2 linked regions of the Caenorhabditis elegans genome follow. The protein of the gene in region 1 purifies or fractionates together with the protein of each later gene. This does not show direct contact. Each region holds a gene or a part of one and is shown on either strand. Other genes may lie near its edges.

Region 1 (4,849 bases):
AAAGAAATTAAAAGGCTGTTCGAATTACACCAAATATCAAAATAAAACTTTTCAGAGAATTTTGAAAATTTTATAATGATTGTTGCGTTTTAGCACTATAGGTATAGGTATATGTTTCAATAATTTCCTTGATAGCATTTTTACAGTACTTCATTTTGGTTTTTTTTTTCAAAAAGCCCAAAAATAAATTAATTCTGAAAAGTTTTCAACAATTAATTTGAGTTTTCTCGTTGGGCGAAGTAATTGTTTATCATCTCTTAAAATTAGATAAGAGGGTTGATGTAGTTGTTTTATCAGTACGTCAAGTAGGTTCAGTTGCAGTTCATGCCAGTGTTGCATAGTTTTTTCGCATTGAAAAAGAATATACTTGCCTGTAAATTTGAATGCAAGAAAACACTTTTGTAATAAGAATCTGCACGTGCCAAAAGTACTTTTTGCAAAAAAAATCAGACCAATTTAATCCATTCAGTTCTTAACAAATCTTTCATGATGAAGCAGATATTTCACGTGGTTTACCAAAAGTTTTTGAGCGTTTGGCATTTATTCAGAGGTGTGAGCATGACTTATGACGCCTTATATAGTGGAGATAGGATTATAAAAAGTCATGGCAATAATGGAAAAACATATCACATAATAAAAAGTAGAATACGTGGATTTATTTCAATAATTTAATTGTTTTGAAAAAACCAAAAACTGAAAAAAAAGAGTACTGGTCAATCAAACAACGAAACATTCTAATTTCATTTTGTTTTAAAGGAGGGATATTGGCATGAGTTTCGCTTGTAATATTTAGTGTATAAAAGCTAATTTTTGTATAACAGCTAATTTTCGAACGCTGCAACATGAAAGAATTGGTAACCTTAGGGATTCAAGCTAAAATTAGGCAGTTTTGAATTTTGAAATTTTAAAAAGACATACTTTTAAAAAAAATTTTCTGAGAAGTTCATTACGAATTTTGTTGATTTGAGTTTTGTCTATAGAAGCAATATAAGTTAACATTAATAGTTTCTTGATAAAGTTGACAAAATTTCCAACTTTTTAGCTACTGACACCGATAGTGTTCAAACACCTGTTTAATTACTTTTTTTCAAAAAAAAAATCACAAATCTAATCATAATCAATCAAAAAATACTCGTGCTACTGTCTGCTTGATTCAGTACACAAACAGTCAATAAACCGGTGATTTGTCTCTCTATTCAGTGATTTCACGGCAACCAACCACCCACGTGTCCCCAAGTTTCCCAATAAGTTATAATGTTTTAGTGATATGCCCATGCGCTTCCAGAAAGACTAAAATTAAGCAGCAATGGAAAAAAAATGCACAAGCGTCACCTTCGTATCCTTCCTTTCTGCCTACACATGTCCTCGCAAACATTCCTAATCTCCGCCCCGTCTTTTTTCTTTTTGTCGACCAAAACATTTCTCATCTTCTTTTTACATCGCATGTTCCTGTTCAAATCACTTTGACACTTATCTTCATTCCGAAAGGTGATAATATTTTGTTCGCTGTTTATTGTTTTGTTGTTGTGATGCAATGTACGCAAGAATAAAATCAATTTTTTTCAGAAAATGTCTGAAGAAGAAGAATCTACAGATAATTCTGGGAAACCCCCTATAGAACATCCGCATGATAGAGAGGTTAAATCAGAAAAACAATCATCAAATGTGCTTCCTGGAATATTGCGACGAGCTGAATCCACGGATGATGCTCATCAAGTCAGACGATCATCAATGCGACCATATGAATCTTTCGATGGTTTAAAAAATGATGGAATACTGAAAAGGTAATTTTGTGTACATTGCAGTCACATTATATGGTTTCGTTATGATGAAAGACAAAAAAAACGTGAAAAACAACTTGCACATGACCCACGGTTAGAAGATAGTGTGATCAAATGAGGGAAATGAGAGATCAAATAGAGCATAGTCTCCAAATTTTACAGGAAGTGATAAACTTCACGTTTTTTCATATTTTTATTTTACCAGGATTATACTGAGTTCAATGAAACTGAAATTTCATGCAGTCCCTGGAATTAAAATAAATAGCCAGAGAAATTGTTAAATTAGAGTTGAGTTTTCGCGTAATTAAAAAATAATTTTAAAATTTTAAAATAATTTTTTATTGTTCAGGAGGTAAATGCATATTCCGGATACTCAATTTGAATTTAAAACGTGGAATAGCTTGGTGAAATGTGGGAAACCCTTTTCCTGTGATACTAAGATGATGAAATAATAATATAAAACGTTTTATTTCATATTTTCAGAACTGAAACTCTAAAAATGCTTCAGTACTCACTGTTTTCATTTCCGCCAAACCCATAACCCATGTACAATAGAGCGCCCTTGAATAATCTCTTAACTTTGTAATATCATTTTTTTAAATTTTTTTAATAGTATTTTAATACAAAAATGTTAACTAATTAGAAATTTTTTCAGCCTTGAGAAATAATAGAAAAATACAAGGCAAGTTTGAGAGAGCTCTATTCAAATCAAAGTCTGAGAGAAACTAAATGTTTTTTTTTCTAATTTTCAAAATTTATTAAGATGTTAAAACAATTTTTCATAAGCAAATTTTTAACTGATTTTGAACCTTTAAGTTGAAGCTTCAGACCTTGTTCACTATTTCATAAAAAATCGTGTGTAACCTTTAAAAATGTATCCAATGTGCCAGTAAAACATATATTTTTGTAATGGTACGTGCTTGCATTTTCGTTTTTTTTGTTTGATATTCCAAATGTTACAGGTTAGGTTAGAGTAATAGTAGGTTAAAGGTTAGTTATTACAGCCATTTGTAACCGACAAATTGCAAATCCTCTATCTATTAAGAAATCATCATAACTATTTTGTCAGACTCTAGATTTTTAAATCTCAAGTACTGATTCAGACATTCAGTTCAAAAGATTAGTTTCACAGCTTAAGAATATACTTATCTCTTTTGCTTTCACTGACTATATCCTTATCTTAAATTTATCATCAATTTTTTGACTCATCCCAATGAAAAGAGCCTTAAAAGTTTGGGCATGTTCTTTTTTTCTATTTTACAGCTGATAATTTTGTTACTAAAACAACTTAACTTCTATATTTTCTATCATTCTTTTGGTTCTCTTCATTGTCTATTATTTTTCTTTAGTTTTGTAGATTTCAGCTCCACTTGATTCTTTTTTTACTTGAAAATAGTCTCGATGATCATAATATTTGCTTTTCGGAACAAGTGCACTTTGTTTTCACCATTTCCGAATTTTTATTGTTAAAGTACAGTAAAGTAACATCTCTTCTGTTAGCTCGATTGTGTTCGCATGACTGCACAATGCTCAGGTGACCGAGCAAAACTAGCTGAAAACGCTTTTCAGGTCTATTCAAGTAGAAATCTGAGATGTAGAGAAAAAAATATATCTCCTCAGTTTTCAAAATTTTGAGTTTAAGAAAAGTTTTGATAACTTTTATTATTAATTTTGAACCCCTTGTTGTTTACACTCTATATTTCCTTTTTTCCTTTTCTCAGAACACCATCCGTACTTAATGGATGTGAGACCCAGCACGAAGGACATATAGAAATTTCAAGTGAGAGTAAGCAAAAGTGTTTTTTGGCTTCCCAAAGCTTATTCACGCAGCTAACAATTGCTCTTTCACCCACCTTTGGTTAATCCATCCTAATCTGATCGCATGGAGGGAATGAGGTGGGATGATTAGTTGGCATCGGGGAAAAAACAGTTGAAAATGAGGAATAAATCGGATTAGTTGTCATGGAAAGCTTGGGAGATATGCGAGGATTCGGGTTGGATGAATAACATATAGTGTGTGACGTCTTGTAAGATATCATCAGTTTTTGTTTTTGCCAAATTAGCAATTTCTTTGAATTTTTTCTACATTTGAACATTGCTCTAACGAACATCATTTTTCGTTTATTTTCTAACACACCTCTCTAGGCCGTTGATCTTTGAAATTGTTTATTGTACTTGTTTTGATAACCAAAAATCGGCGAGGAACCAAAACCAAGCCAATAAAAAAATATTGGCACGGTGTTATTTCAAATGCATTTCGGTTTCAAACTATTTTCCATATATTCATTTCAGTATTATGTATATCGGCACCGGTAACGGTCAAAATCGGCTATTAAAGCTCAAAATAAAAATTGAAAAAAAAAATCGCTTTGTATGTTTTCTACATTTGTTCAGTTTTTCAGTTCACAATTTTTCAACTTTTTTTTTGATTTCTCGGTTTTCATAAAATCAAAAATCGTACCCTTTTGTAATATGTTTTACTAAGAGTTCTCTAAAATATTATTTTTCTAATTTATTTGATTTTCAGTAGCAATTCAATTATCTGTTAAGCAAAATTGAATTTTTAACCTTTCTCATCATTTTCAAATGTTTAACCGTTCTCCCGCACAAGGTATTTCACAAAAGTAAAATGAGACCAAGCAGTTTCTCTTCGTTTTAAAACAAAGCCATCTATTCGAACATCACTATGAAAGAAAAAACCGAGAAAAACAAGGTTGTCTCTCAAAATCTAACACAGACGCACGTGCCCTCCCGTTCATCTGCTCTTCTCCGCTTATTTTCTTTCCCGGCCTTGTTGTGTCTATTTCTCTTGTTATCTCTTTTATTTTCTCTATATTTCGGCATACCCGACCTAACCGTGTGGTAATACTTTCTCGCGTTCACTTGTTTGAACTGCGATTGCCGATTGCGATTGTAGTTTGGCTTCCTGTCAACGTTTTTATTGGCCGCGGGAAACACAGTTTTGCCAACATTCACTACAAATTTTATTTAAAATTAAACTCTGCTTTAATCTTTCCAACTAATGGAAGCTTGAGAAGTTATGTGCAGTAGGCACTGGAATGCGTGAT
Region 2 (4,212 bases), on another chromosome or scaffold:
ATTCGGATCGATAATCGCGAGAACACGGGGCGCGCGGCGCCCGCTCGCATTAAAAACCGCAGTGGCCACTGGGGCAGCAGTCGTTGTTGGACTGCAAAGGGTGGTGAAATCGAATAGACTATTGCGAAATATGCAGATATGGGTAGAATGGGTGAAGAGGAAGAGAGCAGAGGCAAATCTATTGCGAAACATACACAAAATGTCCATCAATTCCCTCTCTTTTTGCTTAATCCATTTGTTTTGCGTGTCACCACTAGGTTTGGCAGAAGGAGATAGAGCACACGACACAGATGGCTTTTCATCGGGTGCAATTTGGTGCTATTGGTTTGGGGTAGAGAGGGAGATGCCGCTTGGCGCGCAGTAATCCTATGGGAACCGAATGAAATGTGCTGGGGGCCTGCAGCTTTGAAAAGCCTTCAGAATAAAAGAGATGAAGACGAACCGTGAAGAAAAACGAGGGACAAAAACTAGTTCAATGCGATGGAAATCGTACCCCTGTTGACGGCTGCGGTGGTGGTGAATTGAGAATTGCGGAGAAAAGAGAAACGGAGATGACGTGGCAGTGACAATCGGCTTGGGGTCGCCTATACAATACGATACATATGCAGCCAATACTTCGTCACACATGCAGCCAGTCAGAGAAAGGTCAATTACCGTAGTACACGCGCCAGGAGACAATGTTAATGGGTACTATCTAGATCAGTTGCTGGTTGGATAACGATTTTAAAATACAATCCAAATCAACGGGAAGCTTCAAAAAAAAATTCCAAGAAATAACTGACGAAAAAAGTCGAGTTAAGGGTCGTGTGTCGGCGCTGGGGACGAAAAAGAGCTCTACTCTTACCCCCACTTTCCGTTGTCGATGAGACACATTATACCAAGCGAGAAACATAGAGACTGGCGCCGCCCGTGCTTCCCTCCCTTCTCCCGTCGTTTTTCTCTCCGCGCCCTCTATGTTTCGGATGGACAGGGACGCGAATGCTTTGTGACGGCCTTGACCAACGGGCGACAGCGGTGTCCCTTACCAACCCGCCACAGGCGAGGCATTTCAAAAAATGTGCCCATCCATCTAGCAATTTGAAAAGACGACGCGCCTGGCTTACGAAGTTAAGGAACTAGCCAACTGAAAAAGTGGAACTCAAAATATTAATCAGTTGCAAAGAGAAATTCTATTTCTGTGATTCATTCGGCGCCGAAAAGTAGAAACAACAGAAGAATTTGAGCTGATAACACGCAATCTAGGGAAATGATAAGAACAGAAACAAACAGCAAACAGTTTTTTGGGGAAATTATAATGGAACAGATACTAAAATGACCCGAATAACCAGAAACCATGACAAGCTGTGCAAATATGTTACACGAGAAGTACTTGTACATGTCGAAAATGATGAATGGTATCCGCCTATTGCGCCCGGTTGAGCTGATCGCAGCAAGGACATAATAATTATATATCAGATAAACACGGTGGCTGACCTTCAAGAAAGATTATGGCGGCCTATTTTATGCAATTTTATGCATCAATCACGAATAAAACTACAAAATTACAATTTCCCCAGTCTCCTAAACCGCTGAGAAGGGAATAGTTTATGAATGAGTCACCTTTCACAGGAAATGGAACAGAAAAAGGAAGCTAAAATGAGGGGCAGAACGTTTTAGGACAGACCATTTGCAAATTTAAAGCGCGAAACGATGCAGAAGTAGCTTGAAAGCGTTTTAGGCAAAAAATTGCAAAAAAAAGTAGCGAATGAAGATGAGAATGACAAAAAGAGGGAATGTTCGAGGCCTAAAATTCAAAATTTGCCGCCCAACAAAATTTCCCGCGCACACAAATGTGCATTATTGCGCGTCGGTGTACAATAAACTGTGCAAACACCGTTGTACACCGTACCCCTCCAGAAAATTGTTTTTTTTTTTGAAAAAGCAATTTTTCGAATTCTTTTATCCAACTTTCTCCTCCGTATAACTGTTTGAATTCAATTTTTAAATAAATGGACAGAAAGTTCAATTCTGATGAACAATGGTATATTTCTCCACTGCTCAATTTAGCCACAGTGAAGGAAGAGATGCTGGAAGTTCGAGAGTTGGGAGAAGGTTAGTTTATTATCTTAAAACAATCGAATATTGTCGAATTTTCAGTTATTATCGATAGAACAATGGACGATTTCGATTCAAAAACCGAAAAAGAACATGAAATGGAAATGTGGAAGAACAGTCTGTCTTATATTCAAGGAGTAACAGAAGAAGAATCATTGGAAGCTATTGAAGAAGTTTCAAAGTAAAGTAAATTTCAAAAAATCGAAAAACAACTAATTTTATTGATTTTCAGCCTCGATATGTTTCTGGAGGGGTCATCAGACGTTCAAACTCGACGATTTGAAGATATGAAGGGGGATCGCAAGTTCCTCGAACGATCACCGCTAGTTTCCCACAAGTAAATATTATTTAAACCTTTTATTCAAAAACTATAATTTTTCAGACATGTGATAAGTCGAGAAAAGACTATGAAAACTTCAAGGCAGCGGAAGTCCGCATATGTCACGTCACTGAAATATGACAAATACATGTTGAACGCCGGAGCAAATACTTCTGTAAATTAATTAATAAAAATAAAAATCTTTATAAAATAATTTTTCCAGCTTTTCCATCCTCAATGTTCAATATTAGAGAAATGTGAAGATGACATTGTCCTTATCGTTGATGCACTGATGCCATACAATCGAGAACTTTTATCTTCTGAACTTCGGAGCTCGCGACTTTTGAAGCCAATGACCAAGTTTCTTGTTCGTGGAGACACCCTTCTTTCGGATTTACGGCAGAAATTTGTATGATTTTTTGAATTTAAAACACACATTAAATATTTAATTTTTTTTAAACTTTCAGGTATGTCAAAGTGATACAATTGTTCCATTGGAGAATGGTTTGGAGCTGGATCCACCGAATTTGGATAATGCAACCGCAGTTCGATTTCCATCATCATTTATATTTGTTCATGATACCTTTTATGTGGATATGCCACCCAATGCAATTGACATTTCACAGTAATTAGTAATTTTCTTTAGAAAAATGTTTAAAAACATTTTTCAGCCCAATCCGCAACTTTATGCTTCACCGCGAGATTTATGATCCAGTGGAGGCTTGTAGTATGGAAGGAGTCAGAATTATTGACCTGAAGCTGCGTCTAGGGCAGCCGTACATATTCCAGCATTCTGGGAATTGTGAACATCTACTCGTTTTTCATGATTTGCGACTTCTTCATGAATCGGACCCGTGGGGAATCGATAAATATCCATTCACCTTATACGAGAAGGGAAATGAAAAGAAATGTGATATTTGTAAAAAAGGGCATGTGGAGTAAGTTTAATTCGCAAAAATTATTGTTTTTCCTCAAAGTAAATTAATTTAAAATTTTACATTTCCAGATTCGTCGTCGAACGCCACGAGCTTCTTCCCAACACCTACACACACTTCTGCAGGACATGCTTCCAGGAGTTCAACTATGTGCATGGTGTCAAGACGCATTCATTCATTGCTTGGCCGTATACAGAACTACAGACTGGAGAGCAAAGAGGATGGCCGTTTGGAGATTTTGAACAAGAAGATGATTGAAATAATTTTGATATTTATTTCTATTTATTTTGCAAAAACTTTATGTTTTTACTGGTATTTTTTATAGAAAAAAGGAAATGCTGGACATTTAAAAATTTTATTGTTCTTTTTTAATTGGATTTCATCTGATTGGTTTTGTAAACCATTTTTATATATTTAAATTTGAGTTTTTAAAACTATTGAATTCACTCGACAGGCGTATACGTATTGTGCGTCGAAACACGCTTTTACTCGTATAATTAAATTAAGAAGCGTGTTTTGACGCACAATACGCAACTCGGAACTTATGCGGCAATTCGAAATTAATTCAACCGTTTAAATTTATTTCGAATATTTGCAATCTTTATCAAATATTTAGACCACCTTAAAGAATAACAACTTATTTCAGGAAAAATGAACGATTTTCTCAATTTCACACAACAAAAACGCGAGGAGCCGCAGCAGCTGGTCCTAATCAAATATCCAGGAATTGTCAAAAATGTTGATAAGGTTGGAATACATACGGTATTCAGCAAATAAATTGTCTCTTTTCAGGCACTTCAAACGATGGGCGGTCTCCAACTAATCAGTCAATCTCACTTCAATAATCATTCACTGGAATTAAGT

What was found.
Region 2: the proteins of ist-1 (region 1) and snpc-3.4 fractionate together in Caenorhabditis elegans (co-fractionation; one large-scale study listed by BioGRID). This does not show direct contact.

Annotation. Positions count from the first base shown.
Region 1 is NC_003284.9:7,125,082-7,129,930, forward strand, and holds the start of ist-1 (IRS-type PTB domain-containing protein), read left to right. Parts: upstream 1-1,569; coding exon 1,570-1,784; intron 1,785-4,849.
Region 2 is NC_003281.10:4,018,172-4,022,383, forward strand, and holds snpc-3.4 (snRNA-activating protein complex subunit 3), read left to right. Parts: upstream 1-1,865; 5' UTR 1,866-1,988; coding exon 1,989-2,091; intron 2,092-2,136; coding exon 2,137-2,275; intron 2,276-2,326; coding exon 2,327-2,431; intron 2,432-2,476; coding exon 2,477-2,588; intron 2,589-2,636; coding exon 2,637-2,822; intron 2,823-2,880; coding exon 2,881-3,038; intron 3,039-3,084; coding exon 3,085-3,351; intron 3,352-3,419; coding exon 3,420-3,606; 3' UTR 3,607-3,712; downstream 3,713-4,212. Other genes in the region: tftc-5 (General transcription factor 3C polypeptide 5), read left to right, coding at 4,000-4,095, 4,141-4,212.